3 linked regions of the Bombyx mori genome follow. The main gene of each other region encodes a partner of the protein of the gene in region 2 in a complex. Links are inferred from orthologs where the notes say so. Each region holds a gene or a part of one and is shown on either strand. Other genes may lie near its edges. The genes, in order: tab1, UDP-N-acetylglucosamine--peptide N-acetylglucosaminyltransferase 110 kDa subunit and KAT8 regulatory NSL complex subunit 2.

Region 1 (11,339 bases), on a different chromosome or scaffold from region 2:
AATGAACATTTGAAATTCGAAGCACGAAAATGCTGATCATTAGTGTTAATCTTTTTTTTTTTAAACTATACATTAGAAATAAAAATCTTTCACAGTATATCTGTGCGCGATTAATGTGTAAAAGTGTGTAATAAAAAAAATACAAGTTTTGTTTTTGTTTTTATTTATTATAAAATGACATTTATTCGAATTCATTTATAAAACAATATAAATATTACATATAAAAACATGATGTAACTTAATATTTGAAATATTTCAAATTTATTAACGTAACATGCAAACAATGTTCTCGGATACTAACAGTCAACACCCTGTCACCGAGGTATATACAGTCATGAACTGAATACTTAATAAGGTCCATAGACCACTTGCAAGACTCTGGCTGTGGTGATTGGACATTCTTGAACAACAATAAATATATTTACAATTTGTTGTATTTTTATGTTGTGTATATGATTATATATGTATGTGAATATACGAGTATATTATAGTGAATATATATAGATATATGTGTAAACTTTATAATATTATTATCATGATATAATATTGTGTACATTGTTGTGTGTTATTTTCGCAATAAGTAATGCACCTACCACAGGACTACACCACCCTTGGTTGACTGATAGAGAATGCCTCAGGTATTAAGTCCAACATTGCACCTTTGTGCATGGAGTTTAATAAATAAATAAATTAGAAACTAGCAAAGAAACATCCCGAGATCCGTCTGAAGATCGATTCGAGCATCCGTCTATAGCTCTTTATTAGTTAACACTAAACATACCATAACAGGTCAAATGATCCATTTTGAACTCTTGCATTGAAAATGCACGTGTCGTCTTATTGCTTTTGCACATTTGACGTCACGAATTTTTCTTACCAATTACTCTACAGTTATTATACTTTTTTTTTTGTTTGTTTTGTTTATTTTGAGAAATACTTTTTTTCTTTGCGGGATTCGAACACCGATGCATCGCTTCAACACGAATGCACCGGACGTCTTATCCTTTAGGCCACTACGACTTCACATACTTGTCGCATCTACCCTTTATGGTAGAAATAGATACCAGTAAGTGTTGGTATGATTAGTGTTTAAGTACAAAAAACAGGTTATTTACCCTGAGTAGGGGGTGCTCACTGGATGAAGTCTGGCAGGGTGCCGCCGCGACGCGCCCTTTCCACGTTCTCGTAGTAACACGCGAAGTCAACGTAGCCCTTGATGCGCACGTGCTTGTCGTACTGGCGGCCCGGGCACGTGTCGACCGGGGACTCCGGCGAGCTGGACTCCATCTCATCTAAGAGCGTGCTGGACTTGGACTGCACGACCGGGTTGAAGCGCACCGAGGCGCTCCTGGGAGGCCCGGGCTCCGCCCCCGCGGCCGCAATAAAGTTAAAGTTCCTTATGAGCAGCGTGACGTGAGTGTTCGATTTGGGCGTCAAGTTGTTCTTGACGCAGTGGGATATGAACTCCTCCTCGATCTCGTGCAGGACCGTTTCGCTGACGGCCTTGAAGTCTGTCTGCTTTCTGAAGTGCTCAACGATCATCTGGGCGAGCTGTTTGTTCGTTTGTTCGCTGCTGCCCCTCGACTCCTGTATGCGTTTGTAAACGCCCGCGCTTACTAGGATCAGAAATCTGAAATGTTTTTTTTTTTTTTAAATTAATTTCATACATTACTGAATAATATTTTCGTACTAACCTGCAATATTGAATATATTTTCGTACTAACCTACAGCTGTCGTCCAGGACGATGGGTCCGTGTATCTCCGGGGAGGCCACCACGGGCTCGGACGAGGCCGGGCTGATGCTGGGAAACGCTTTGTACAGGCCCTTGACTAAATAATTCCCCAGACATCTGGTCCCGGTTTGGTTGCCGAGGTATTGCGCTGAAGAAACGTACATAATCACTTTAATAACACCCTTTATGCAATAAACTTACTGATGGTAGGACCTCTTGTGAGTCCGCGCGGATGGGTACCACCACCCTGCCTATTTCTGCCGTGAAGCAGTAATGCGTTTCGGTTTGAAGGGTGGGGCAGCCGTTGTAACTATACTTGAGACCTTAGAACTTATATCTCAAGGTGTGTGGCGCATTTACGTTCTGGATGTCTATGGGCTCCAGTAACCACTAAACACCAAGTGCGCTGTGAGCTCGTCCACACATCTAATCAATAAAAATAAAAAAAACATTGTGGTTTTCTTCATTTTTCATCCTTAAATCAGATTGCTCTCATTTTTTTCTTTTTCCTTACCTAAGCTGATAGCCTTGAGAGGCTATATCAGCGTAACCTTAACTAGTAGGTGAGCTCACGGGGCTCAAACTGAGGTGAGCTCACGGGGCTCAAACTGGAGTGTTGCTAAGACTGACCCTAGCAAGAGCAGTGCTGCGTAGAATCTACCACCGGATCTGAAACGCGACCCACTGAGGAGATTCGGCGAAAAACTCAGTGGGCTGTGTCTGTGGGTTAATTCGCTCATCGAGCCCTTCGTCGCAAGTGACGGGTTCGACGAGAGGGTTAATTCGAGGAGGATTCGAAATGACGTGTTTAGGGCGATCATCATTGGGCGTCACTTCGGTTTGAGCACCGTGAGCTCACCTACTAGCTAAGGTCGCGCTGAAATAGCCTCTCAAGGCTATCAGCTTAGGTAGAAAAAAAAGACGAATTCACTCTCGCTCTATCTCTTTCTATTCCTATACTATATGCTATTATATTATAGCGTAGTCTGAAAGCGACTATAATCATTCATGGGTTCGGGTTTGAAGTGCGACACAGTCGTTATACAATACATTTAGAACCTACACTGCCTGTCTCAAGACCGGTAGTGTTCTGCAAGTGGTGATGTCCACGGACCTCTTAGTAAGCAATCTAATTCCCAAGTAAACAGTAAGACCTTTAGTTCAATAACCACTACAACTGATAACATAAAAAACATGTACATAAAAAATTGTATACAGTAATTCCCCTTTACAACACGGTGGTCTTATAACGCGTTTTCATATTACGCGATTTCAGTATCTCGTTTAACACGGGTATTCCCCCATATAACGCGGGGAGTTTAAATGTTATATTTATGTACTGTGAGATTTATAATGATTCGTACAATTCATAAATAATTTCGTGTACTTTTGCACATTGTGTTAATAGTGTTGTTATAAAATTAAATTAAATTTATTTATTTAATATGTGTTCCTTAGTTTTGCATTATAAAAACATTGGTTATATTGGATTTAATTTTGTACATAACGCGTTATATAAGGTCATACCATACAAGCGCGTTATACGGGAATTCACCTACAACGTGATTCCTATAACGCGGAACCAATATACCGTGTTATAGGGGGGATCACGGTATATTGTATAAAATGGGTGGAGGTTCAAGTTGCCTAGACAACAAATGACCTAAAATAAGGTATTTGAGAAAAAAAAAACTCACCATTCCTCAGTTTATTAACGTCTAAGCCTAGCTGAGACAGTCTGAGCAGCTCGTCTTCGTTGTTGAGACTGTGGTCAACGGTCAGCTGCACGACCCGTAATACCGAGTTATCATCCGTACGACATAGCAGAGCTCTACTTTCACCTATAAAATTAAATTGTTCAATTTTTTTTTTTGTGTTAGTAACTACAATGGTTCTTGTAAGATAAGATCCCTTCCAGCCCCGTGCCAAAATGGATAAAATTACGATCATCTATTTGCAAATAACTGCCCGTTTATTGTATTGTATCTGAATAATATCAACTAGTAAGGTGTGTAGATGAATAGAAAAAATTAGATGTATTTATAATGTTAGAGGGTCGACTGCTTTAGCTATTCTAAGTGACATATTATATAAGAGCACACTAGAGATAGGACCCGTAAAGAGTTTGAATCATTCTGAACAATATGATACAAAACAAACTATTTAGGGCGAAGCAAAGTATGCAACACTATTTTGCATATGTTACAAGTTTAAGTAGATGATGACCGAGCTTTGCTTGGCCTTTTTTTTTTATAACGCCATCTTGTTGTGTCTTTAAAGCAGTATTATAATAGTAATAGTATTATTATTCGCCAATAGATGTCGAGAAGAGTCATAAATTAAAGTTGATTATTGAAAACACGAACAAAACAACATTTTCTGAAAATAAATCGTAGCTGGATCGATTTATCGCCCCCGAAATCCCCTGTATACTAAATTTTATGAAAATTGTTGGAGCCGTTTCCGAGATTCAGATTATATACATATATATTAATATACAAGAATTGCTCGTTTAAAGGTATAAGATAGTAAGAGCGTCCTTGTGAGGTAGTAAATGGTTTGATTATGGAATTTAATATTTGCTAATAATTTTTTATGAGAGAAGATAGCAATAGTCTAGAATAATAGATAGAAGTAATAGATAGTGGTAATAATCTGTGCATTTATTCATCCTTGGTTGGTAATACAACAAGACTCCCAACTCATGTCTCAGTGGGATACATAGCCCACCTGGTGGTAAGTGGTTACTGGAGCCCATAGAAATCTACAACGCAAATGCACCACCCACATTCAGATATAAGTTCTAAGGTCCTCAGTATAGTTACAACAGTCAGTATGGTTCACATGATTTTATAGAATCTCGGAGCCACATAACAATATTACTACTGAATTTAATAAGAAAACACTCACCAACATTAGCAACAAATAGTTTATTTTTGTGCACTAAAGCTACGACCACAGTAGCACCTCCGGACAGATGCTGGTCTATTTCTTTTAAGCGAGACAATATAATTTGGCGATTCTGAAATTTAAATTAAAGCACTTGGATAAAAATCCTCTGACACTAAAACATAAACATCCACATTCTAGCATATAATATTTTAATTTAAGGTTATTAATAACGATAATAATTGTATTTATATATGTCGACTTTTGTCCTAAATATTTTTATATTTTTTTAATATTACCGTACATTTGAACAATGGCAGTGTGAAAATGAAGTAAAAGTATACCTTGTATTTTATGATTAATATACCTTAAATGTTGTTATATAAAAGAATAATCGAAACTGCCAGTACATTCTAATCTTTTGTATATACAAAACAAAGAAGAAATCAAAATGAGTACCTGAGTCTCACTAGAAGTCTGCAGCTGATATTGCAAACTAGTTCTCTCTGCTATCATTCCATCATAGTTTTCAATGTATGCTTTCTCAACTGACACAAAGGCATTCCTATATATAAAACGAATTAATATTAATATCTCGACCCATGTTCCATCTTTTATACCATCTACGCTCTATTTGCTCAGCGTGTATTTTATTTGCAAAATCTTCCATATATATATAAAAATGAATTGCTGTTTTTTTTTATTGCTTAGATGGGTGGATGAGCTCACAGCCCACCTGGTCTTAAGTGGTTACTGGGGCCCATGGACATTCATAAGGTAAATGGCCCACCCACCTAAAATGCTGTTCATTGCTGACCGATTTGGCTAATTTTGGTCTTGAATTATTGGTGGAAGTCCAGAGAAGGTTTAAATAGAAGATATATATCATGAAAATGCTCGGAATTAAATAAAAATGACAATTTTGTTTTTCCTTTGATGTGTCCCCTCCCCTGTTGAACAGATTCCTTTTGTTTGTTTTAAGTTTATTTTATACAAAACTTTAGGTCTTTTATTTATCGATTGAGGCACTACGAAGTCTGCGGGGTCAGCTAGTAATTGATATTTTATCCTATTTGTATAAAGTATATTTCATAATCCAAAGCAACAATAGTATCTCTCTTATACACCCTTATTTATTTATGATAAATATATATATAGTTTTTACCTAAGTCTGTCTCGTATCTCTTCATCTGTGTTGGCTGAGGGTGGTGGAAATAATATTTCAGCTGCCATTCTTTGCATGATAAGCCTGGCCGCTTCAAGACCATTGTGTGGCTCAAATACTCCATATAAACAACTATGAGAATAACATTTAGTTTAGTTATAAGTTTGTATTTGTATTAAGAAGCGAATTTTGGTGTAATTTATATTTTTTTTCTATATTAAGGTAAACTTAAATGCAAACTTATTTTTAATGCTCTTCATTTATTTAAATAAAGAAATTAAGGATAATATCAACTGCTAAATCTTTTAAGAGTATTTGTAATATCATTTATTCACTATGCAGATGCAAGATGCTTTTTGCAGAAACAGCAATACAAAACAGGGTTGAGGACTTGCAACATTTTGACTTGAGAAAGTTGATATTAAAAGCTCTTGTTTATTTACAAAACTTTAATAATAATTGATGAACTTCGGAATTTAACTACGTATTTCTAAATTTAAATGACCGGGTTTTTTCTTCACCTATAGTTACATTTGCCGTCATGAATTCTATCTTGGACACAATGAAGACAGAGACAAATTTAATGTATTTTTTTAACCCTATACTATTGTGACATGGTTAGATATACAAAAGTTATGATAAATTAAACTTACAAGTTATCCTCTGTTTGACAGAAAAAACATAAATAATCATCGTTAGCATTTGAGTGTCCTCCGAGCTTTGAAAAATACGAAGCTACACACGTATTCCTGCACTTCGGAAGATCGTCAGTCCACGGTCTTGCTATCATATTGCTATTTTTACCACTAACACCTCAATTCACAGCTCAAATATTACTTTTATTTTTTATTTCATGAAACAGACCTTTTGTTGAAAAATGACCAAAATTTCTTAATATAGAGCTAAGACCAAGTTGAGACTTGATCATCTTAAATCATCAAAACGATTTTTTAGTTTTAGAGAATGCTAAATTTTGAATCGGTTCTTAATATTGTCACTTTATCATTTTACTTTCATTTTTACACTAGTTGTACGGCAAAGTTAAATAAATGAAAGTACCTAACATATTAGACATAAAGGTTCAGCTAATATTTACAAAATATTTATTATATTTTCTTCGCAAAAGTAAAACTGAATCGAATGACAGGAATCGAATCGATTCCCAAAAACTGAAGGTTCGTAAACTCAACAACCCTTCTGTCGCCCCTTCTGTGCAGTTTCTATTTTTATTTTAATGACACTTATTTTTTTCGTTCAAAAATTTAAAGTACAATTCTAGAGTTCAGAAGTTTTCCTAACACTATTGAAATTTAATAAAAATAGTCGTTAACTATCGTTTGACTATAACTTAAATTCTTATTTTTGCCACAACATAGAAATTAGATGTAAGAAAATCTTTTTTCTATATTTTACCACTTAGTGTTCGTTTGTTCACTTAACTAACGTCCAGCCCAGTTTTTGTTTTTTTTTACTCATCAAACATACGGTACATTTGAGATAGTACAGTACTAATAGAAAACTGGCATGTCAAACCGTATTTGAAGGCAAGTCCCACGCCTTGGTTAGTGATAATAAGAAAGGACAAAGTAAATATTAAGGGACTGTAATGAGACCATTAACTCTGAACGTCAGCTAATTTTTTATCCATTAAGGCTGATAATGCATAGTATTTTTTTCGTGTTGATGATGCCTTCATTTAATTTTTAAGCCACGATGATTTCATAGTTAGTAATTAATCATCAAGACAGAGCGATGAGACCGGTGTTCGAATCCCACAGGCAGGTACCAATTTTTCTAATAAAATATCTTATCGTATCACACGAAATGTCCATGTAAGACGGTGTAAGATGGTTCCACGGTGACGGAATAACATCGTGCAATAAAACTAAAAATCCGTAAAAATTATGATTTACGTAATTTCTAGGACGTATGTTCGCATAACCCTGCCCGTGTCGGCGGTGTATCGCGTTCCTGCAGGCCGGATCTGACCCAGCGAGGTCCTGGTCGTAGTATTGACCGCGAGAGTCCCCCTAGTTTGACCGAGTTCTGACCCCGGGCGGAAATCGGACGTCGGGTGTGAGAGTGCAAGGGGAGTCGTTTGGTGTAGTAGAGTCCTAGATATATCCTTGAGCCCGCAGCCTGCCTCCAACATCTGCAGACCATCAATTCTCATATACCCCGCGTGCTCCATAGCCGCGGATACCTCATAGGAGGCTCGGCCGTCGTACTGTTAAAGTTGAAACTTGTTAAGAGCTCCGCCCGGCTCTGTGTGCTTAGTGCGAGTTTTATAACGTTCTCGATAGCGTAAAAGTTAGCTCATATTTGTATAGAATGGGATCGTTTGCCTACGTTTGCCGCTAGGGGCACTGTTCCAACTGCATACAGAATTGAGTTCACTTTTACGCTGTCGAGAACGTTAAAAAACTCGCACTAAGCAAACTGGTGACTTCTTATCACGAGGCGGGCCGTGAGCTTATCTACCTATCCTATCAATAAAAAAAATACTTATATTATAGCAGGATTCCTGTCGAAATCTCATTATTGTTTTCGTCTTAAAAATCAGTCCTACGAATATTACTTCGGAACCAAAAATGATTTAGCAGTTCTTTCTTATGTCCCTCGGAAATAGGCCTGCATAATTTCAAAAATATTTTCTGTTCACATATTTTTATCGATACGACGTGGATGATTAAAATGAATACTAACCAACAACACAATCAGGCCACCCACTCATAGGCAACCGCAAAAATCAAATAAATTCATTAAATATTGAAACATTACTCTTTATATACCTACATAACTTACTTATTATTACGTACAATTTATTTGATGCCTAATTATTCACACTAAAGATTTATAAATTGTAATTTGTAATATAAATGTTAAGGAGTATATATTTTTCCTAATGAATTGCACAGAGGGGTTTAAATCTTTCTATCATAATAATAACATATTTATACTTCGACTCCAAAGGACCGCAAAAGTAAAATATAAAAGTACCTATTCTATACTATTCTATACAAAAAAGAACAGAAACCTTAAAAAAGATGCAACGAAAGTGAAAGATAATTCAGTTTTTTCTGAGTTCACAGAAATAGTGCCTCATAATAATGTTGGAGATTCAGTAAGCTCGGTAGGTAGGTACCTAAGTACTTTGAGTAGTAAAGATGAAGTCATCTTGTTACTCAATCAGTAGGCGTTTTTCTATTGCTTAAATAAACCTATGCCTACTAAACTATTTTAATGTCGAAACTCGCGGTTTTTTATTGCGAAATAGACACGTTTAATTTATAAGGTCATGCTACTATTGTCATGAATATGTATAAAGAAATTTAGCCTTTACACGATTACAATAAAGAATTGAATCGTTCGTTCTCAAATTAGCAATGGTTGACAAAAAAAGCGTGTGCAATTCACACGTGGTAGAAGTGAAACCTTCAAAAATGTTGGCTTCAAGATGACGAATGTTAAATTTTGGGAAGAGGATAATAATAATTATAGGTTTTAGTTATAATGATCAAAGTGATACAAAGTTTGAAAATTATGTTACATTTTATTCGTGTTGATTTACATAGATTTATTCAGAATGTTTTATGTACGAATATTAGGTACTAAGTAGTGTAAGTTCCAAGAGAACCACGAATATAAGAACCATTATATAATGCTTCCCATCTCATTTTCTCCCACGTTAAATTTTATAAATTTATGTGTCGTCTCTTTTTTATCGCTTAGATGGGTGGACGAGGTCACAGCCCACCCGGTCCGTGGTTACTGGAGCCCATAGACAAGTACAACGTAAATGCGCCACCCACCTTGAGTTATGAGTTCTAAGGTCTCAAGTATAGTTACGACGGCTGCCCCACCATTCAAAACGAAACGCATTACTGCTTCACGGCAAAAATAGACAGAGTGGTGGTACCTACCCGTGCGGACTCATTAGAGGTCTTACCATCAGTAATTACGCAAATTATAATTTTGCGTTTTTTATTTTTATAACACGATGTTATCCCTTCACCGTGGAAATCAATCGTGAACATTCGTTGAGTGCGTATTTGTCTCTAAGCAATACAATTTTTTAACAAGATAGTGCTCATGAATCTATCACCGCTGAAATGAATACCGCATTCACTGTACCTACCTATGTAGCAGAAACTATGTCTGGGAACGTGGATCAGTGGTTGTAGGTAATATACCTCCTTTAAGTCAGCTCCGGTGGCGTGCTGCGTGATGTTGAGTATAAAAGAAACAGCATCAATTGTAATGAGTATAATTACACCATTTTAAATGCAGGTTTGTCCTTCGAAACAAACATATACTAGATTTAAACTTTATAGGCCATTTAATAATTAGTAAATAAGGTAGTTTAGAAAATATTTTAGAATACAGGTTTAAAGAAAGTGGCTCTGTGAAAGCACTCTCAGGCAAAATAATTCATTTAATAATAGATTCATAAACTAAAATTTGATTTCTGTAATCTACCTTCAGACATGTAATTAAACATTACAATCCATTCCAATTTTATTTACTGGTGGTAAAACCTCTTGTGAGTCCGCACGGGTAGGTATCACCGCCCCGCCTATTTCTGCCGTGAAGCAGTAATGCGTTTCGGTTTGAAGGGTGGGACAGCCGTTGTGACTATACTGAGACCTTAGAACTATATCTCAAGATGTGTAGCGCATTTACGTTGTAGATGTCTATGGGTTCCAGTAACCACTTAACACCAGGTGGCCTGTGAGCTCGTCCACTCATCTAAACTTTAAAAAAATAAAATAAAATAATTAAAATTAACACGAGTCATTGATTAAGCAGTTTATATTTTCAGATCGGGTAGAGTGCAAGGATATTGTGGCTTGGCTGGGCACTGACAGTGCCGATGTTGAAAAACATAGACAAAAGAGCTATTTGATTACTTTTAAAGGCCAAAATAATTTAAAATTGCTATTAAATACCATCATAAACAATTTATAATCAAATAAAACTCAAACATCCGACCAAAGTTTTATTGTTTAGATAACCTTAAATCTTCAATCATTTACATTTTTTTGCTATTTTTTATATATTTTTTTACAATAATTTTAGCTCATCATCTTGAGCTACCTGTGACTAATTTTATAAACCTATGTTTTTTCAACTGATAAAAAACTTGTAAGCAAAATTGGACATGACTAACAATTTTTTCTAGAAAATACTTTACATTTTCAAAAAATGCCTCCTTTATCTTAATACATTCATACCCTTAACTGTTTAATGTCAATTTTAAAACATTTTGTATTAATTTCTCAACAGTAGGTTTATAACACTTATCTAATGCCTATTTGAGAATCAATATTCCACAATGCTGAAAAGGTTGATGATCTATCAAAAACAATTGCATTTGAATGGGGCTGCACGGTTTCCAGAGCCATCACTTAGAATTAAAAATTTAGTGTCCCCGTACATCACATCACTCTTTCCAAACAAATGCAATACATGATGAAGTTCATACACCCAGGAACGTAATGAAATAAAAGTGAAAATCATTCTTTTGAGACACAGATGGCTTCGGAAACCCT
Region 2 (10,814 bases):
TGCTGATATTCAAATAATGAAGTCAATGAGAAGAATAAATTACTTTTATAATATTTTTGTTTTGCATTTCAGAGACAAGATTATTTTAAGATACAAATATTTTTTAATAAAACTTTTTTTGTTGCTCAACAACAACATACAACTATGAATAATGCAACATGTACTTCTATTAATAAGTAACAATAAATTCAAGGATTTTTTGGTCCTATCATTAAGTAAACAATGGGTATGTCATCCTGACCTTCCTAAGTTGCTACTGTTATCAGGTTTCCTTAAATATTAGTATCATTGGCCAAACTCTAAGATAGAGTTTAGTAATATCATTTTCTTACTAATCTGAAATCTCAATCATAACGGATCCTTCAAGAGGCAAGTGTCATTATATGCATTACAAAGCACTTAATACCAGATAGGCCGTAAAATCGTCTGCCCTGTAAAGTAATTACTAATAAATTAAATTAATGTCAACTTACTATTCTCTATCTGTTCCCAGTCTTACAGCTATGTCTTGGTATTCTTGTCTCGTTCTGGCAATGAGCTCGGGACATCCTAAAGTATTTAATTGAGAAGCTGCCACTCTGTAAATTAATTATTTATATCTTGGTCAAAAGAAATACATAATTTATTTTATAAGGACTTTTTTATTCCATTTTTGGTAATTCCAAGCAATTATTAGTCATGGACATCAGTAATGTCGGGAACACAGTCAAAGCACTGTACGCTGTTGAGGAAACATTTTAAACCCTTTTGACAGTCATGTCATATATTGGCTCATTATTTATTGTGAAAAACCAAAAGTATAATAAATAGTATATAAAAATAATAGAAGAGTCAGAGAGATTTTAAAATTAAAAAGTATTGTGTTTTAATTATTAACATATAGTATTGTGTTTTAATTATACTATATAAATATCTATAAGGCAGTTAATTCCAAATTGATGGATTGACAAATAGTTTGTTACACACAACATGGTACAGCAACAAATACAAGCTTATTTTCATATCCAAAAACACATAACTGATAAATCGTTTCTTCCAAAAAGAACTCACCGAGACGCCAAAGTCTCCCCAGGAAGGGTCACAACCGGTGTGCCAGTCCATAGGATGTCCATACTAGTTGTGTGTCCATTACAAAGTGGAGTGTCGAGACACACATCGGCTAACTGTCCGCGTCGTACGTGCTCTTCTTTGGCAGCAACATTTGAGAATATTATCCGTCCCGGCGGAAGACCTTTAGTAAAAATATATGCAATAAGATTAAAATAAAAAACACCTTAAAAGTTGAATTAATTGGACTACTATAAGTGCAACTGAGAAGGCAGTTGCAAACAAGTTTGTTAAAGTTAATTATTTAGAAACTGCTGGAATGCCAGCAGATATTTTTACAAAAAGTTTAGGGTCTTTAAAACATAAACATTTCAGTATAAATGATTTTTCCGAATTGATTGATGTTCAATCGCAGGCTGATACTAGTTAATTTACTGATTGGAAGAACAGTTCGAAATTAATCTTTACAAAATCTATCTTTCGAGGCAATAATAGCAATACTTAGTATATTCACCATCTTCGTTTTAGAAGTAATAGTTCTAAAATGTATGACTGTTTGCACAAATTATATCACGAATAGAATACTCACCAAGTTGGTTGGCAGTGGATTGTAAATTGGGTTCTCCTACGGCCGGGAATCTTAATAACCATAATACACTGTTAGGTACATGTTTCAGTATGTACACCCACATGTGTAGAGTTAATGGGTCAATCTTATACAATTGGTTGAAGTTGCAGTACACTACGGCGTCATCCGGTAAGCCGTATTGTTGTCGAGTTGTAATCACTATAGATTGTGGTACTTCCTCGCCCGTCGCAGCCTTGTTGTTCGTCTGCGTAGTAGCTAAGCCATTTTGAAGAATAACGCCATTTACGGATGTCTGAAAATTGTGGAAACAAAAGTTACATATTTGCATAATTTTTTTCAAACCATAATAAAAAAAATGGAAACAAAGCCAATTTAAAAAAATGGAAATCTGCTCAGAAATTACGAACGGAAATTATCAACTTTTATTTTTATGTTAGACAGCAATTGCATTGAATGGACATGCACAACCCCACATTAAAAAATAACGTCGTAATTTATCAGGTCTGCTTTTGCCGGTTTACTTCTTTTAATTTAAAAGACTCGATAATATTAAAAAGTTACCTGTACTTGTCCTGATGCAATCATAGTTTCAATGGGTGTCGTCGTTGGCAATTCGGCTACTTTCAAAGATATTTCAACGGGTCTGGCTGCTCGCACGATCTCTTTTATTTCTTTAATGTCAGTATTTTCCACAAGGGGCGACAGATCGGTCGCGTTAATCACAGCAACATTGTCCGCGACACTTCCCAAATTGTTGTGGGATTTAACTTTGTCGCTCAGAATCAGACGTTCTTGTAAATGTGGGAACATTTGCTTGTGATCGCCAACAAAATACGTGTGTGGCATGTACGCTAGTTTTTCGCTATATTGGCTGGCAAGTTCCACGGGTGACGTCACTGCATCAGTAACTAAATAGTCCATGTAACTAGCCCCGCTAGTTCCCGGGTACCCGAGCCACATTACCTGGACCGGGGCTGGTCTCAAAGCGAAAATTTCATTTCGCGCTCCTTTAGTGTATCCATTCATATTGACCAAGATATGAATACCGTCTCCGTATATTTTATCGGCTGCTTTGCCGTTACAAGGCATCTGAGATAGATCGATAAAATGCTCCGCTTCCCTGGCGATTTTCGATCGGAACGTTGTTCCGTCGTCCGGACTGAGGGCATAGCAGAATATTTCCACTTTTGTTCGGTCATGCAAACCAGGTACCGATTGCATCAAATGCGATGTCGGATGGTTACCGAAATCGCTGCTTACGTACCCGATACGAAGGCGGCCTTGTAAATCTCTAGGGAACTTGTAAGGGTTTTTGTGCAACACTTGCACTTTCTCCAAGCAAAGGTTCGCGTGACGGGCGGCGATGGCCTTCCTAAAGTCATGTGTCAGCGGATACAACATGGAGTGGTGCGGATGTACTGATGGCAGTCTGTTTTTCTCCAGCTGCTCAGCGACAATGCTGACCAATTTTTTCATTCGAGCCTCATAATCCGTCCAGTCACACACTATTTGTAAACAGTGGGCTAAATTGCAATACGCATCTGGGAAGTCTGGTTTAAGCTTAAGCGCTGTTCTGTACGACTGTATAGCTTCAGGAATGTTACCAGAATCTTTGTGGATGCTGGCCAAATTGCTATGAGCATCCGCAAATGCGGGATTAATTTGAATCGCCCTTGTGTAGCATTGCAGAGCACCGGCTACATCTTGCATTTCCTTCAGCGTATTGCCCATGTTGCTATACGCATCGGCAAAGGTCGGCTGAATACGTATAGCTTCCTTGTAATGCATAAGGGCTTCGTTTAGTTTCCCTTGTTGTTGCAACACTGAAGCCAGATTACTATGCGCCGCCGCAAACTCCGGGAACACTTCTAATGCTTTTAAATATAAACGTGTAGCCTCCTCGATGTAGCCTTGTTCCCGTTTTATATTAGCCAGATTGTTGAGGGAGTCTGCATGAGACGGACAGAGACGTAACGCGGTATTATAACACTCTTCAGCATCAGTCACTTGTCCCTTTTCTTTGAGTGCATTAGCTAAATTGCAATACGCGTCCGGGAAGTTCTGTTGTAATTCGATGGCACGTCGATAAGTATCGATGGCCAAGTCAATCAGTCCTTGTTCGTAGTACACGCAGGCCAAATTGCCGTGCACGACGGCATTATTGGGAGATAAATTCAAGGCTCTCAAATATGCGGCGACGGCCCTGATAATCACGAGATACTAATTTAAAACACATTCAAAAATAGATTAGAGCGAAATATTTCATATTTTATGATGGTTACGTACCTGTCAAAAATTCTAGCTTCTTTTAGTACATTTCCTAAATTAATGTACGCGTCTAAGAAATTGGGATCCAATGCGACAGCTTTTTCGAAATGATGAATTGCCAACCATATTTCACTCTGCGCATTGAAAACGCAACCCAAGTTGCTCCAGGCGACCGCGAAATCGGGTCTAGTTTCGATTGCCTTCAAGTAACAAGCCTAAACACACGAAAAAAATAACCTTTAACTTTTGAACTTTGATTTGTGTTTTAGCGTGATGTAGTACCGAGATATCGTTACGCCAGAGCATTTCTCTACACAACGTTGAACGATGCCGGTGTTCGACTCAATTCAGATTACCGAACATCATTCACGTACAACATAAAAACCAGAATTACGCCAAATCGCATCCTAACAAGTCACTACGCCAAGAGCATCACATCAGTAGTAGGAAATGCAAACGACCGTCAACAAAAATGAAGTCTGTAATCACTGAAAAACCAAAGCAGTTAAAAAAAACGAAAAGACAAACGCTTCCACTTCCTAACCGATGGACAAGATGAACACGACAATAATCAAATGAAAACGTATCCGATAACCTGTTGTAACATTATTTCTTTGAAACCTTTTTCCACTTTACCTTCAGTGGTCACGGTGTCATCGGGGCGGAAGAGCGAGAGTCGTACCAACCGTTACACAGCTACATACAGCACCGGTCACACCTACACTTGTCTTACCAGACAACACCTTGTGAAAATATAATAGAAATTAGTTGATTTCTTTGTCAAACTTTTTCACCCGATTCTGTCAATGTAACTGATTATCGCAAAACATATTTATGATTGGATAGGATCATTACGAACTCGCGCTGTCATCGAGCAGAGTATTGTGACAGGCATGATGAGAATGACCAAATCATACAAATAAAATCACTACTGATACGCTACTTGTCTTCTCTGATCCTCCTTGAAAATGGTAAAATAATAAAAGCACATTTCATTAAAATAAAATAAAAACAATGAAGCCAACAGGATCTTTATTAATTATACTTAAGTTCGACATTACAAAATTACAATTAGCGCAAACTCCGATTACGCAATATTCTAGTCGAACGGATTTTTATACTACAATAGATAGTATCAGATTAAATTCACGAAGGTCATGACATTCAGTTTTTTTCAAATCTTAAATACCGTGCAACGTTCGTCGACTAGAAGATTGATGATTTTACGCAGATGCTATCACAAAATATCTGTACAAGGCGTGCCAAATATATTTTGTGACTTCTATAAGACTGCATCGTATGAGATATTTTTCAGTTAAATCTTCATAAGGATTTCATCTCATTCAACGGGTCTGCAATGGTTCGAACAGGTCGCTCATAAAACACAAAATTTAATTTAAACTCGTGAAGGCGTTTGATGAGAAAACACTGTTGGAACCATCACAAAGGGGACTTCGTTACGCGACTGCCATGTCTAGAGGATTTACGCAAGAAGAAACTACGCTTCGCCGAGAGTGCGCTAATTTAATATCGTACAAAGGAAAGTTCTAGAGAATCCTGTTAACTTTAGAGCGAACCAAACAGTGAAGCAGAAAATTATATTTACCTTTGCCTCGTCTAGTCTTCCGAGGGCTTTGAGCAAATTGCCCAAATCGCTTCTGACGCAGTACAAATCCTGGAACAAAATTATTCTTTCTCCAAATCAAACAAACAAATACGTTTCAATATGTCTAGTATGTTTATAAAACTTTTAAAGCGTTATATTCATTACTAATTATAAAACTGTCAGATATTTCGGAATCAAATATCCAACTTACAACTTACTTAACAAAGTAGCTGATTTTAATGTGCTCAATTTTAATGTCTCAAAATGAATGTTGGCATTCATATACTATCGGTAACCAATAAACACCAGGTGTGGACCGTAAGCTCATTCTCCTATCAATAACAAAAACAACAAAAACTACGCACGGATGCTAAAATTACAAAATCATATACCCGTATCTTTTGATTTAAAACTGGATAACCTATTACGTAAGACTACATCGATATCTCTTTTATTATTAATCCGTCAAATGTGTAATGACTAGAAACCTTCGAAATCATTCTGGTGACTTGGTATTGTTGTTGTTCTATCAAAAATAATGTAGGCTCTAATAAACGTTTAACAATAGTTGAGCCGAGAGCATGCTTATTCACCTAGGACAAAAAAATCGAAAGAGAAAAAGAACCAAGTCCAACGATTGAAGCATTATTTTTATTTGATACTAGCTGACCCGGCAGACTTCGTAGTGCCTCAATTGATAAATAAAAGACCCAAGCTTTTGTATAAAATAAACTTAAAACAAACAAAAGGAAGGACGGGGGACACATCTAAGGAAAAACAAAATTGTTATTTTTATTCAATTCTGAGCATTTTCATATTTATCTACCTTTTAAGCCTTCTCTGGACTTCCACAAATAATTCAAGACCAAAATTAGCCAAATCGGTCCAGCCGTTCTCGAGTTTTAGCGAGACTAACGAACAGCAATTCATTTTTATATATAGAGATAGATAGATGTGTCAACCCAATTTACTATGGGCCCTTTGCTATACAGTTCTATTTGATTAACGGAAGAATCCAGTGGAATATTACGAGGCATACGATGACACAAACAATAAATTACAAATTGCCGTTTGCGAAACAAGGAAATTAATGTCACCGTATATGATAATTCAGTGAAGGTCACAATCGCCTTATCTTTATCGACGTGTGAACGTAATATTTTAAGATTTTAAATCGAATTCGCTCAAATAATTTTAATCATACGTTTTAATTCAGTGTTTTTAATACGCTTTTATTAGCTTCAGACGTATGTATGTATGTATGTTTGTGTGTAACGGAATCTTTGAACATGATTTTGACCCTCTTCAAAACGTCGCATTAACTCGAAATTTGGTATACTTATTAAGGAGCGATGAAAATTCAATATTAAAAAAAAATAAAAAAAATATTTTGAAAAAATTTAAATTCAAGTAAAAAATGAAAAATAAATAATAGTTTAAAAAAAACTAACAAAATACGCTTTTCTAGAAAATCTAACTAAAAAATAGAAAGTAAATTTGAATTAAAAATAGTGTAAGAAATCATTATTTTATTGTAAAAAAGGGTGAGGTGCTTTTCAGGATATTATCAAAATATTAATTCTATTTATTCACCCCACGCTTTTTCTACAATAAAATCATTTTTTTACTGTGTAGGTATGTTCAAATAAGATTAAAATATATCGTATAGCGAAGCGTTAGATATATAGTACGTGTGTAGGTTACAAGATCACGTCAGTTTATATAAGACGTATTTTACACGAGCTCATTACTTAATCTCTTTTTGACAAGCGTAAAGTCGCCGTTTGCGTATTTACAGAAAGACAAATTGACAAATGACAAATTATTAATTCGAAATGAATACACGCTATTTCGATGCATTTCCTCATAATTTACGTCAATCATAACAATTAATCATTAAAGCTTTACATAAAAAAACTTTTTTGGTCTAGGAGAAACAAAATTGCCAAGATTTAATACTTGAATGCATGCCATCTCGAAAGTTTTCGGTGATATGATGACGTCACAAAATTAAGAACCTAAAATAAAGTACTGACTTCGTATTCATTTCAATAATACATAACTTTTACTGGAACTAGAACTCAGGGTGAGAGGTATACAATACTGCCCGTTTCCGCCCCGAAGGAGTGTTCACTTTCGTCAGAAAAGGCGCGACAGCTGTTATTACAATACAAATGAGACTTCCTTCGATCTTACCCGTCGCTTGCGACGAAGGGCTCGACGAGCGATTTAACCCACAGACACAGCCCACTGAGTTTCTCGCCGAATCTTCTCAGTGGGTCGCGTTTCCGATCCGGTGGTAGATTCTGCGAAGCACTGCTCTTGCTAGGGCCAGTGTTAGCAACACTCCGATTTGAGCCACGTGAGCTCACCTACACGTTAGGCCGAAGTTGAAATAGCCACTCGAGGCTATCAGTAAAGGTAGGAAAAAAAAACAAATCGATCTAATGTTTGTTGATAGATGGCAGCATTCAAATCCGTTTGCTCCGTTAACCATCAAACACACTCATTCGGCTACGCTGTCATAGCCCTCTCAGCTTAGGTAGGAAAAAAAACCGAACACAGGATAGGCCATGACCATTCTGCCAAATTGGGAAGATAAAAAAAATTATGGTGACGTTTGAAGTTTGGGACCGTTGTAAAATACAATTAAAACAGAAATTACATCGACCGCCTTGAATTACTAAACATAGAAAATCATATTATTTTATATTTTATTTTTTCACTTTAGTACGTTGACTCTGGTGCATAAAACAATGAGAGACTGATATTGCATTTAATATTAAGTTTTGGCAATACAATATAATTAAGTAAGTAAAATAAAATCAAAGTAAAGTAGAATCTCGCCTATTAAATGCTTTTATTGAAGATTACAATTTGTTGTTAACATATCAACATTTTTTTGTAATTATCCTAATATGTTACTCAAACAAGCGCTTGTGAATATACGTCACGTTATATTCTAATTTCCATAAGAACGTTGATACGAACTATATTGACATTAAAAGTGAGTGAGTATTGACATTCGCACTGGGGTGAGGAAGTAAGAAAATTTAGTACGAATTTAACGTGTTTTTTAAACTATCCATTTATAATAGAAGCCAGGTGAGGATATGTCAATTGAAAAGTACCATCGAGTTCAAAATCTATTCTCAAAAACCGGCTTCGTAAAAACATGGTAATAATAGTAACGTAGCAGGCATTGAATGCATTGCAGGGGTAGCTGATTCACTGGGGATCAACACTCAGGTATATTTCCAACCAATCGTTTTCTTTTTAACAGCGGATGTGAATGTATATTCCTACGTAGTTAAGTCAATTAATACATCGCTGCAAACTTTTTTCTTGAGCTTTTAATCAACGTTTCATTTATAAACTGTCTACATTTTCTTGAATAAAGTGGTTGTCTTACAAGAATATTCAGGAAAAATTACTTGTCCCTTATTGACCCTTTGCAATTTTATTATTGTTTTTAATTTATTCTTATCAGTGTGCAATACGCGTTATATTCTACAGTTAAATAATGCTCGTATCTTATTCCTATGAATCAACGAATACTAGTTGTCGAATACTAAAGGTCTACACGTAAATATATCCAAAATAATATAAAATTTAAATTATATTTACAAAAAGGCTTACTCGCCTTTTTAGAATCTTACGAATTACGGTTTAAAATTACCACTGCCTGCTGGATACATAATACAATACAAATGCTTAGATTAAGCTAAACTAGAGCATACTCCTTTCACTTCGAAGCAAACAATACGCGTTGTGTGTTTCACTTATTTAATTTCATTCAAAAATACTTTGTCTTATTTGAAATTGAATAGTTCATGTCACAATGGTAGACGATCGATATGACGAGATATCCAATGAGCTGCAACCACATAATTACCGATGTTAACAAAAAAATCGTATGAAATTTTCCAAGCCATCAGGAAAACAAATAACAAATGATTCATTTGACATTATGTATAGCTCATGTTATCAATATATATAAAAATGAATTGCTGTTCGTTAGTCTCGCTAAAACTCGAGAACGGCTGGACCGATTTGGCTAATTTTGGTCTTGAATTATTTGTGGAAGTCCAGAGATGGTTTAAAAGGTAGATAATTAAGAAAATGGTCGTAATTTTCCCTTTGATGTGTCCCCCGTCGGTCGGATTACTTTAGTTTGTTTTAAATTTATTTTATACAAAAGTTTAGGTCTTTTATTTATTGATTGCGGCACTACGAAGTCTGCCGGGTCAGATAGTAAGAAATAAAATTAATATCAGCATGTGCCCGCCCACATGGAAAACAAATAATACTGATTAGAATCATCCCTTAAAAACTTTTACATACTCACAGGGTTATACTGCAGTGCGGTAACGTAAGCCTGCACAGCTTGCTCCATATCGCCGGCGGCAACGAGAGCCGCAGCCAAGTTGATGTATCCATCGATGAAGTCCGGCTTCAAACGGACAGCGTGACGATAGTTCTCCAGCGCCTCCTGAAGCTGCCCGCGTTCTTTGTAAACATTGCCCAAGTTGCTGCACGAAAAATTAAAGACAAATTATGATCATTACAAACAGGCTAGTGATCCTCGTGTATGCACCATAGGATCCTGTTTCGATTAATTATCGGAGTCAGTGTGATTATTAAATATGTTAGGTATTGGAATACTAGATATACCACAACCCGAAATGATGATCACGACCTCTCTACTAAGAGTGCAAATGATTGAGAAAATAATACCCTGAGACTATTGAATATTAAATTTAAGTTATACAGTTCAACATTATTCAGCATGTGTTGTAGTTTGAATTGATTATGAGCCGGGTGTCTGATTTTATAAACAATTCTGTTTTAAAATATATGAATGTTCTTGAATGTACTTATGACAAAAACTTGTTAGTTAAAAAGCATGATGAGGTAGCTTAAAAAAAAAGAAGACACCATTTTAACCCAAATACATTGTTCATTTAAAAATCTCCTAATTTTCAGTAGTTTTAAAACAATAGACAATTTTAATTTATAATAACATTGACACAGAAGATCTAGAAATTATTACTAGGTAGTAGGTACTAGGTACCTTACAGTATTACAAAATGTTTTAGATTTTTCATTTGTGAATTAGTGAATTATTTTCTCAGCCTTATACGTCTTGATTATGAAAACAGGAGATTAAACCGTACCAGTAGTTTTAATAATTATTGTAAAAATTGAAACATGTTTCCACATAGAAAATGAGTTATTTTTGTTAATCAACTAATTAGATTTATTGCAGTGAATGTTAATGATTTAAGCAATTAATTAATCAAG
Region 3 (10,814 bases), on a different chromosome or scaffold from region 2:
GACGGAGGAGTATGAAATTTTCCACACTTATAGAGAACATAGAGAAGAAGTGCACAATGCTAATATTTTTTTAAAATAATGCGTAAAAGATACATTAAATCAATAAAGAAAACATTACACACACTACATACCATGTATTTGACGCACACACGCATGCATACTATTTATTGTCAAACTTTTGTCATTTGTTGTCAAATTCAGATTAAATATTGTTTGTCTTTGTTAATATTTTTTATAGTGTAGTCTTGGCGAAATTTGTGATTATAGAAGTATAAAATTAATTTAAGTATAGTCGAATTTCGACTACTGCGGGACCTCTAGTAAAAATGAATTGCTGTTCGTTAGTCTCGCTAGAACTCGAGAACGGCTGGACCGATTTGGCCAATTTCATCATGTATGTAATTACATCTTGTATGAAGGAAGGTGGTGGCATTTAGGTTGATTCCTGTGACTTGGCCGGCCTGTGCCAGAGAGAGAGAGAGGGAAGGTATGCAAGAGTAGGACATGAGTTGACGTGTGATTGGCCCCAATAGAAAAAATATAGTGTATAGCTTACAGTAGTGTTCCTTCTCAGCCTTGAGAGCCTTCACGTATTTAGCCCGGGACATCTGTAGCAGCACCCGGAGACGCCCCATTTGATTGACGTACGCCATTTGCAATAGTTTTAGTGCATTTCTCGCTTCACTTACAGTTTCTTCGGCGGTGTACACACCGGCACGCCTGAAATTTTTTATATATCGAAACATTAAATTTTATTATTGATAGCTGAGTCCCGCGACGTTACCCGCGGTTATTGTAGTACCGCGGGTGACGCCGCGGGGCGAAGCTAGTCTAAAAAAAGTAGCCAAGTTACTCCTTATATCATCGGCTACCTGTCAGTGAAAGTCCCGTCAAAATCGGTCCAGCCGTTCCAGAGATTAGCCGGAACAAACAGACAGACAGACAAAAATTGTCAAAATTCATATTCATATCAATTTTATTTATATGTATAGATGTATAGATTAAAGCAGATATCAATTTTGTAATTGCATACTGATACACTAAGCAGCATATGTATATATGAGTTGACTATTATCAAAGCCGGCAATCTGACTTTTGGATAATTATTGGTAAATCAGAAAAACGAATTATTGACTTTGTATTCCATTGGCAGTCACAAAACTCTTCGGAACGACATCTTAGATAAATAACAGGTTAACTATTAACCTTTATTTAATGCAGGTTTTGAACCGTATTCTTTGAAGGAGACGATTATATTCAAATCAATCTGTATTGACATATCAATAACATTTTTTTGTCCAAATGCACAGATTGCCACCTTTGATAATAGACGACTCATATATAGTCACTTGCGACGAAGGGCTCGACGAGTAAATGAACCCTCAGACACAGCTCACTGAGTTTCTCGCCGGATCTTCTCAGTGGGTCGCGTTTCCGATCCGGTGGTAGATTCTGCAAAGCACGGCTCTTGCTAGGGTTCGTGTTAGCAACGTCGTCAGGTTTGAGCCCCGTGAGCTAGAGAGTTAAGGTTACGCTGAAATAGCCTCTCAAGACTATCAGCTATGGTAGGAAAAAAAATCTACCATTGAAGTCAATAAAAATAATAACCATGTGGCGGGTAGCCATCATACAACGCAAGATAATTGACAGATGCCTGAATCTCGCTTACGACATTTTCAAGATAAAGCGCATATATACAAGTTTCGAACAACAACATTCGGACCGTCGGTCTACCGAACAATATCACCCGCTCGGTGAAAGATCTTCCATTTGTCGTCAAGCCTCGCAAAACCAGTTAATCTATAATCTAAAAAAAAGGCCCAAGTAACTAACTGTAAGGGCATTGACCTCATGTATCAGCTGATTAAAACTTTCAATATAAGTGACTTTTTGGCGAGAACGCGAGGAGTGAAGTTGTGTGATTTGTTTTACTTTGTCTATTTAGTGTTTCTTCGGGTTTAAATGTGTAATGACGGTGGTTTATTAACTATTTAGTGTCTGTGAAAGTGCACAAATGTGGGAAAATGAAACAAAGCCGCTGAACGTAACTTCTCGGGATCCTCCAAAAAGTCCACTGAGAAAATCTCAATAAATGACCACCATTTTACTGAGATTATGTTTCACCTCATATCATCTCATCTCACTACATTTAATTTCATCCCAGTTGATTAATGTCTCACATTAATCATCTTCATTTCATTTCACTCCATTTTATTATTTTTCATAAATATAAGAATATAAATTAAAATAAGACATGACCGAAAAGTCTTAGTTAACAGGTCATAAAATCCCTTAAAAAATATAATTAAAAGTAAATTTATTTTTCTATTTTGTGTCAAGAACCAGGCTTGAGTTTTAAAATCGATTCCCTTACATCAGTAATTTTTTTTTATTTTTTGTTATTGCTTATATGATTGGACGAGCTCACAGCCCACCTGGTGTTAAGTGGTTACCGGAGCCCATAGTCATCTACAAAGTAAATGCGCCACCCACCTTCAGATATAAGTTCCAAGATCTCAGTACAACCCGCCTTTCAAACCGAAATGCATTGCTGCCATTCTTAAAACGATCACTTACCATAATGGTAGCTCTTCAACAGGTGCGAGTTCATCGTCCCCCGAGCTACATTCCCCGTTTTCCCCCAGCTTGACACTGTCACCGTCACTGTCAGAGGCACTGCAGTACTCTTGTATGGACGCTGAGTACGATGCATTCACCGACCTCGCGTCTATTTGTTCTGTAATTAAATTAACTAATTAATGAAAACCAGAAGGAAACTAGTTTGTGGGTTATCTACACTTGCAATGTAGTTAAAAGTATTATCTATATATTAATACGCGAAGCAAAAACTTTGTATCCCTTTTTACGAAAATTGCGCGGACGGAGGAGTATGAAATTTTCCACACTTATAGAGAATATAGAGAAGTGCACAATGCTATAATTTTTTTAAAAAAATGCATAAAAGATACATTAAATCAATAAAGAAAACAATACACACACAGTACATACCATGTATTTGACGCACACGCGCATGCATACTATTTATTGTCAAACTTTTGTTCGTGACGTCTGTTGTCAAATTGAGAATAGATTAAATATTGTTTGTCTTTGTTAATATTTTTATAGTGTAGTCTTGGCTAAATTTGTGATTATAGAAGTATAAAATACAATCATAATAGTGTACAAACTTACAATTCCAATTAATTATAGTCGAATTTCGACTACTGCGGGACTTCTAGTTCATTATTATTGACCATCAAGACATGTACAATCAATTGTCTGGTTTAATCTGGTCAATTTCAGTTTTGTGTTACTTTCCAGTTTTCGTGGGCACGGATGAGTAGAAATGAATATGGGCATTATTAAAGTACATCCAGGACTCGAGAAACCCAAGGAATATATTCGAGGTATAGACTTTTTTAACATGGCGGACCATGAACAGTGCGTGAGACCTTATAACACCTTATCTAAGATAAATAACATACAGTCACATTATATTTAAATGAGTTTTAACAGTTCTTATACTTGTACATAAGCGGCTTATTATAACAAGTTTTTTTTTATGATTGAAAGTGGCCTGGAGGCCTTTCCAGTTTCACCAGGACAGGTGGACGAGCAAAGGCTCAGCCAGGAGGGATGGGATTTGCTAACAGCTGCCCGAGCGCCTCCGAAGGAGTCCTGACAACTCAAGAGCAGCTGCTTCGCGCATGAATCTACTACCGGATCGGAATCGCGAGCCGCTGAGAAGATCCGGCGAGAAACTCAGCGAGCTGATGGTTAGGTAAGGTTGCACGTCGACGTCTTTATCGAGTTCGACGAGTACGGTTACCGGGGTCCCTAAGCCTGCTCCTAGTGTTAGAGCTGAAGGCATCAATATAATAAGTCTGTATGGTTGGTACCATTGTTCCAGTACTGCTACCGTGTAATAAGAGCTTTATAATGGAAAACGCATTCAAGGGTGCGAAAGCCAGAACTCTAATGACGACATAATAGCAGATGGATCGAGGACTTATTTAACTGAATTTAGAGGATAAGTAATTATAGTTTAAAAAAATATTTACTTCGCAGTGGTCCTGGTTAGGATATTGGGCCAAAATAATAAAACCATACTATATAACCAAATTACATAGGAATCAAATAATATTTTAAAATAATTTACTCACTGAATGGATCTAGTACTGTCGGAGAAGACTGTTCTGGTTCCGATGGGTCGCTTACAACGGACACTGAAGACGCACATGACGTCGTGCGGGGCCTCTCTGCTCTGGAAATTTATTTTAAAACATTCATATTAATATAGAAGTATTCGTTATTTTGTTTGGCAACAATGGGGCAATGGTAATGGGAACAAATTGTATCGCTCGAACATAATTTTTGTGTAATCAGCTGATACAAGCTTTTAATACATTTGTGAGCATTATGTATATCATTCAATAAATTATCTGCAATATGACTGGAGTCAGTAAATAATTATGATGATAAAATATGCAAACTTGTCAATGAGTATGGTGATTGGTGTTTGGAGAGCATTGCGTTTTGCTCCACTTTGCAATGCCCCACACACTATAACCTGATTGGTTTTTAGAACAGAACAGCTACAGATTCCTCCAGAATTCCACTTGGCTGTGTCACTTATTGTAGCCATAGACAACATGACCGGCAATTTTCCTTGGGTTATCTGACAGTCATTTACTTAGTCCGTACTACAGATGTGTACTAACTGTATGTAGTGGCTGAGCTGGTGGAGCAGCGTCTCGGTGGTGGGGAGGGGCGGAGGGGGCGCGGCCTGGCGCTGGCGGAGGGCGAGGGCGGCGCGGGCGTGCTCGAAACACAACCTGGAAACGTCATGGAATTCACCATCAAGAATTATATCTATACTAATATTATAAAGAGGAAAGATTTGTTTGTTTGTATTGAATAGGCTCCGAAAAACCACTGAACCGATTTGAAAAATTCTTTCACTGTTTGGAAGCTACGCTACTCCCGAGTGATATAGGCTATAATCTTTTTTGAAAAAAATTAGGGATCCTTACTAAAACTCCAATAATGTAACCCAAGGTGTAAAAAAAATACCTAAAATATTCTTTACATCGAGTGCCCTGCGAAAACTATTGATGATAGAATAAAATAATGTACTACGACTTTGTAGAACACATTAGTAAGTATAAAAAGTGTCGCGACAGCATATGTCAAACTATTATAGTTATGCCGCAATAAATGTTCTTTTATTTTAAAAAATAAAACAACCTCAAATATTGTATTTTTGTGAAAGATCCGAGCGGAGCCTGAGCGGGCCGCTAGTTTTCAAATATATTTGTTTGTTTATTGACTAGCGTTTTATCTTATTTGATTATATTCATCATCACAGGCATAATAACTATGAGCAATTTTATAATATGAGATATAACTCGTGTTTATGGAACACGGTTCACTGATGGTAGGACCTCTTGTGAGTCCGCACGGGTAGGTACCACCACCCCGCCTGTTTTTGCCGTGAAGCAGTAATGCGTTTCGGTTTGAAGGGTAGGGTAACCGTTGTAACTATACTTGAGATCTTAGAACTCAAATCTCAAGGTAGGTGGCGACTTTTACGTTATAGATGTCTATGGGCTTCGGTAACCACTTAACACCAGGTGGGCTATGCGCTCGTCCATCCATTAAAGCAATAACAAAAAAAAACATAGGTGACTAATTATAATTTAAAAAGTTAACATTGAGGATATCCGACCTTCAATATCCTGACTAGGGGGTCGCGAGATAGACAAAAAAATCTAAAAGCTAACCCAGGGTCCCGGGGATCATTAGTGTCCATGGGTGCCGGCAACGTACACCTCTCCCCGTTGGCATAGTTGTGCACGCACTGCCTGTAGGGGGCGGTCGGGTCGCGGAGCACATGTCTGTAGCAGTACTGCCGACCAGACAGCACGGGCTGCAAGCATTCGTAGCCCTTGTACGCGCACGAGCGACACCGCGAGGCGATCTCCTTTTGGACCTGAAAATGTTTTTTTTTTTCATTAGCCACATCATCAGAGGAGTATTGAATCGGTGTACTGGGTGTGTGAATTAGAGATGAAACGGATAGTGGTTTGGCCGGATACCGAATATTCGGCAAGCTGCGAGGCCGGAGCGCCGGATATTCGGTTACCGGATACTCGGCCCTTTCGGAAATATTCGTGCGCGTTCGGGTGTTGGCCCACGTAAGCGGAGATCCTGACGACTCGGTACGACACGATTTGGTATTCATTCACCACAATTTACCACTTGTTATTTTGAGTAGGTATTAAACAAATTAATTGATAAAACAATCACTTTTGACGTGCGATTATAAAAATAAAAGTTGTCCATAGCCTATTGTGGTATTATTTGCCTTTTGTATAACATTGAGATTTTTTTTAATTTTACCATCCGAAATCCGGCCAGATACTGATGTACGTCTGAGAACGTAGCTGCATATTCACACTAGAGATGAAACGGATATCCGGTAACTATCCGGTATCCGGCCGGATAGTGAAAACATGGCCGGATAGGCCAGATACCGGATAGTTACCGGATATCCGTTTCATCTCTAGTGTGAATATGCAGCTACGTTCTCAGACGTGAGTCAAAATGTAGATTAGAATATTATTTTTTTTCCCTACCTATACTGATAGCCTTGAGAGGCTATCTCAGCTTCATCCTAGCGTGTAGGTGAGCTTTCGGCGCTCAAACCGAAGATTAGAATAGTGAAATAATTTATTATTATATACCTGAGCCCTCAGTTTCTCCTCTTCCTGTTTCTTCACGTGTTCCGGGTCTGGAGGCTTTATAGTCCTCACATTTGTTATCCGGATACCGGATTTTGTTGGTCCCCCACTACTGAGCATCCTGACTTTGGGCAGGTGAATTAATTTACGAGGTTGTGACGTCATAACGGACGAGGAAACTGAAATTTCAAATAAAAAATGACGTTAAAATTTGATCGGTACATGTGACATAATGCCATCAGATTTTAATCGCTTAGTAATAATAAACTATTAATATGTAGCAACGGTTGAGTTTGCAATCGTGTTCATAAAATATGTATAAATTCAACAATTGAAATTATCGAAGGTAAGACCCATTGTAGGTCTCACAAGTATCGTATCGATAAAGAATGCTATTATTCCAGATGGGGGAGTAAATTCACCTGTACACCTGGTGCAACCTGGTTTGTCAGTGCCCATAGACATTTGGGGGTTAACGACAAAGGGGGATCTTCCACCGAGCTGGTGTAGCTGCTCAGTAGACCGACGGTCCTAACTTACCTTAAAATTATTGTTAGCGATATTCGGGCATCTGTCAAATATCTTTTGTTCTATGGCCACTACTGCCGTTACAACATGAATGCCGCCGCATACCACTATCTTAATATCGCCAAAAAATTGTCATGGGGTTAGAATTTTTTTTTTAACCGAAGAAGCCTATCTTGTTTGATTCCTACTTCTTTATTTCGTTACTGAGGTTATTTACTGCTCGTAGTTTTAGAGAACCGATAACCGTTGGAGCCAAGCTCCATGCTCCAAGCTGCATGGAGTGACGATCTATGCAGGATGGCTGGCAAGAGCTGGATGAGATAAGCCGAGGATCGTGCTCAATGGCGTGCAATTCGAGATACCAAAGTCCAGCAATGGACTGCTATAGGCTGATAATACGATGATACGTTGATCTTAACGAAAAGAACTTATCAATAACTTGAAATGACCAGACGGCAGTTCTTTTTTTTATAGTTTAGACGGGTGGACCGCCATCTGGTGTTAAGTGGTTACCGGAGCCCATATACATCTACAACGTAAATGCCGCTACCCACCTTGAGATATGACTTCAAAGGTCTCAGTATAGTACAACGGCTGCCCCACCCTTCAAACCGAAACGCATTACTGCTTCACGGCAGAAATAGGCAAGGTGGTGGTACCTACCCGTGCGGACTCACAAGAGGTCCTACCACCATTAATCACGCAAATTAAATTATGCAATACTTAATGCTATGAAATACGTACTTAATACGGCCCTGAGTTTGTTAAATTTTTGTACTATCCCGCATGTACGTATCGCCAAATTAATACTGTTTTTGTTACGTCTTGTTACAATTATTACATAAGTTTGCATATTTTTTTTTGTTGATAAACAAGTCGTCCTAATTGTTAATGAAACGGGTACCGGAAGGAGCCCAGTATATTTTTAACCTACAATAATGTTGATTTACAAAGGAAAAATTCGTAATCACGTAAATAGCAGTGGACAGATTTAGATGATAATTCGTACAAAAATGTTTTTTTTTTATAATCTAGATTTTTAGGAGGGTACCTGCGAAACATGAAAATTTGGATCCCGTGAAATTGGTGCTTAATATTTTATTGTCACAATTTTATTAATGACGTAATCGCAGTGTAAGTCTAAGAAATGATATTAAAAAAATTAACTCCGACAGCCTATACAACTACTGACTTGACTACGATATACTATTTTATACAAAAAATTCTCGTGTTCTAATGAAATGATGTTTATATTTTTTTATAAATCTACATGTTTAATGAACTAAGTAATGAATTGGTTTGTTTGTTTAAATTAGCGCATTTGATTTTTTATTTTTTACTTACGTTCAGAAATCTTGATATTATGAGCGTTCAAGGTGTTTGCATACTCTCTTCCGAATGGAAACATTTTTTTGCTATAATAGCAGCCTGTAATACGTACTTTCTAATGTTTTCTTTAAAAATCATATGAAACCTCTGTAAAAGTTGCGTAATCATCTTAAATTAGAATATTTTAATTACGATTGTTTGTTCGTAGTTATCCACGTAGCGCGAAACTTCGTTCACTAAAGTTAGGTCAGATGTGATTCTTAATAAAAATAAACTAGTTTGCAACAATTTGAAAAAAGTAATGACTAAAACTAATCGTGTTATAAAATAATTTCACTAATTATGAAATGACCGATAATAGTTTAAGTCATCAGGCATTTTAACTCGAATTTAATAGTGAGGTGAATTGTAAACAGTTGTGGGTCGGCCATTTGCACAGTGCGACAGAGTTTTAGGTCCGTAAATTTGAAGTTGATTTTTTTCATTGAAAAGTTAGCAATGCGTTTTAAAAATATGTACAAAAGAAAGAGCTATTCTTATTCTATTAAAAGAAACATAGTGATAAAGTGAAACGTACCTGTGTTTTTTGCAGATCATCAATCTGTCACCGGAGACCTCACTGCGTTAACTACCAAGTTTTACAATGGCGTCAGCTTGAAATTCCTAATCAGAATATCGTGTTGTGATGTATTTTTTTTAAGTAGTTTTCTTGTTGTTTTGTTATTCCATTAATTTTAATATTTTTTTAGTTCATTAATGGTGAATGAAAACAGTGTTTTCTGATAAAATGTTAGGATTTTAATTTATCAATCACTCAAATGTTAACGTGGTCTTTATCCGGTTGCCGCTGTGCTAGCGCTGTCCCTTTCCCACTCACGCACTTAGACGGGGCACTTCTATCCGTCGTGCTTTCTCGCGCGCAGTCCGAACATCCGTTCAATGGCTGGTGGGCAAGAAAAATGGTATTTTACAAAAGAACAGCTACAGAATTCACCAAGCAGAAAATGCGGTTTAGATGCAGATAAAGAGTTAGCTTATCGGCAGCAGGCCGCGAATCTAATACAGGATATGGGACAGAGGCTTCAAGTGTATCCTTTTCGAAAAAGTGTTCGATTACGACCCAATGTTTTTGTCGAGTCATGTGTTTAAAATGTGTATTTTAGTGCTTTGTTGAGTGTTTTCATTAATTAAAATGTCCTCTAATATCGGTAATCAACATTTGTGAAGCGTCAGAATGTGCAGTGATCATGTACAAGAGTTAGAAAAAGTGACGAAATGTCGTGTACATAACGGCGTCATTCACACACTTTCCCTTGCTGGTCTGGGATTTCCCGTGAGTAAAACCATAATATCTAAACTGAAGGATACGCCTATGATTGCGTATTAACGTGAAAATGCCCATAAGTGTTTGTATTTAGGTTAGGGTCACGTATGAAGCGTGGTTTTTTTCGAGGTCAGTGTTCGACAGCTGTCGGGACGCCTGCGCGGTTGACGTAGGACCTGTGTGATCGACCTGTCTGCCCGCTCTAAATTTACCCGCGTACCGGGATAAATAACCTTTCGTGTTTCTTGGAACTTCTCAACGATTCACTTCCGAGCTTATCATGTTTTCCTGGTACTCGTGTAGTTAAACGAGATAAAATATGTATTACTTTTGAAGCACGCGTGACGTACGTGTTGTTTTGTCATTTCCACGAACACGTAGGTTAATGAAAACGTAAATAAACAAAGTGTGAACACACTATGCTGATATGCATTAGGTTGTTGATATCAAGCGAGCCAATGAGAACAGATGCAAAGAAAAAAGTAAATGTATAGAAAGAGGTCATTACTACAAACGAGTATCAATTCATCAATAATGTTTCTAGAATAAAGGATGGAAGGATCTAGAACAAAATATAATCTAAATAAAATAACATGAATTTGAGATGATTTATTCAATGCACTACATAAACAACTGTTTTACATAAATGTGAAATGCAGTTTTGTAATATTTTGCTTAGTGGGAACCTTTCGCTTTTAAATAGACTGAATTCAGACTTATCTGATACTGATAAATATAGGTTTCTATGAAAGATTACAACTGTGCCCATATTATGCTTACATCTCAGTTAAAACATGATCGCTTGGTATATATTATTAGGTAATAAAATCTTGATGCATAATGTTGGCTTAATTCAAGAACTGCTTAAAATCCTGCTGGGAGGTACCGTT

What was found.
Region 1: the proteins of UDP-N-acetylglucosamine--peptide N-acetylglucosaminyltransferase 110 kDa subunit (region 2) and tab1 are in contact, whole or in part, in a crystal structure (PDB 4AY6), measured with the Homo sapiens proteins. The link is inferred for Bombyx mori from reciprocal best matches to the Homo sapiens genes OGT and TAB1. Residues at the interface, in NP_858058.1 of Homo sapiens: Asp441, His506, His508, His509, Asn567, His568, Pro569, Gly641, Tyr642, Thr643, Lys644, Ala646, Gln849, Phe878, Pro904, Val905, Ala906, Pro907; in NP_006107.1 of Homo sapiens: Pro389, Val390, Val392, Pro393, Tyr394, Ser396, Ala397, Gln398, Ser399.
Region 3: UDP-N-acetylglucosamine--peptide N-acetylglucosaminyltransferase 110 kDa subunit (region 2) and KAT8 regulatory NSL complex subunit 2 share a complex: the UniProt entries of both Homo sapiens proteins name them as parts of the NSL complex. The link is inferred for Bombyx mori from reciprocal best matches to the Homo sapiens genes OGT and KANSL2.

What each region holds. Positions count from the first base shown.
Region 1 is NC_085132.1:1,618,622-1,629,960, forward strand, and holds tab1 (tak1), read right to left. Parts: upstream 7,025-11,339; 5' UTR 6,578-7,024; coding exon 6,441-6,577; intron 5,920-6,440; coding exon 5,788-5,919; intron 5,188-5,787; coding exon 5,082-5,187; intron 4,756-5,081; coding exon 4,644-4,755; intron 3,575-4,643; coding exon 3,431-3,574; intron 1,882-3,430; coding exon 1,725-1,881; intron 1,631-1,724; coding exon 1,132-1,630; 3' UTR 1,116-1,131; exon of another isoform or gene 401-1,115; 3' UTR 147-400; downstream 1-146. UniProt on the Homo sapiens protein: Key adapter protein that plays an essential role in JNK and NF-kappa-B activation and proinflammatory cytokines production in response to stimulation with TLRs and cytokines.
Region 2 is NC_085129.1:5,326,521-5,337,334, forward strand, and holds part of UDP-N-acetylglucosamine--peptide N-acetylglucosaminyltransferase 110 kDa subunit, read right to left. Parts: intron 10,043-10,814; coding exon 9,859-10,042; intron 5,580-9,858; coding exon 5,511-5,579; intron 4,120-5,510; coding exon 3,923-4,119; intron 3,840-3,922; coding exon 2,198-3,839; intron 1,929-2,197; coding exon 1,637-1,928; intron 1,232-1,636; coding exon 1,051-1,231; intron 579-1,050; coding exon 474-578; intron 1-473. UniProt on the Homo sapiens protein: Catalyzes the transfer of a single N-acetylglucosamine from UDP-GlcNAc to a serine or threonine residue in cytoplasmic and nuclear proteins resulting in their modification with a beta-linked N-acetylglucosamine (O-GlcNAc).
Region 3 is NC_085108.1:5,585,070-5,595,883, reverse strand, and holds the start of KAT8 regulatory NSL complex subunit 2, read right to left. Parts: upstream 9,293-10,814; 5' UTR 9,178-9,292; intron 8,748-9,177; 5' UTR 8,680-8,747; coding exon 8,616-8,679; intron 6,923-8,615; coding exon 6,747-6,922; intron 5,993-6,746; coding exon 5,784-5,992; intron 4,836-5,783; coding exon 4,722-4,835; intron 4,265-4,721; coding exon 4,164-4,264; intron 2,738-4,163; coding exon 2,578-2,737; intron 721-2,577; coding exon 557-720; intron 1-556. Other genes in the region: cyclin-T, read left to right, coding at 9,540-9,688. UniProt on the Homo sapiens protein: Non-catalytic component of the NSL histone acetyltransferase complex, a multiprotein complex that mediates histone H4 acetylation at 'Lys-5'- and 'Lys-8' (H4K5ac and H4K8ac) at transcription start sites and promotes transcription initiation.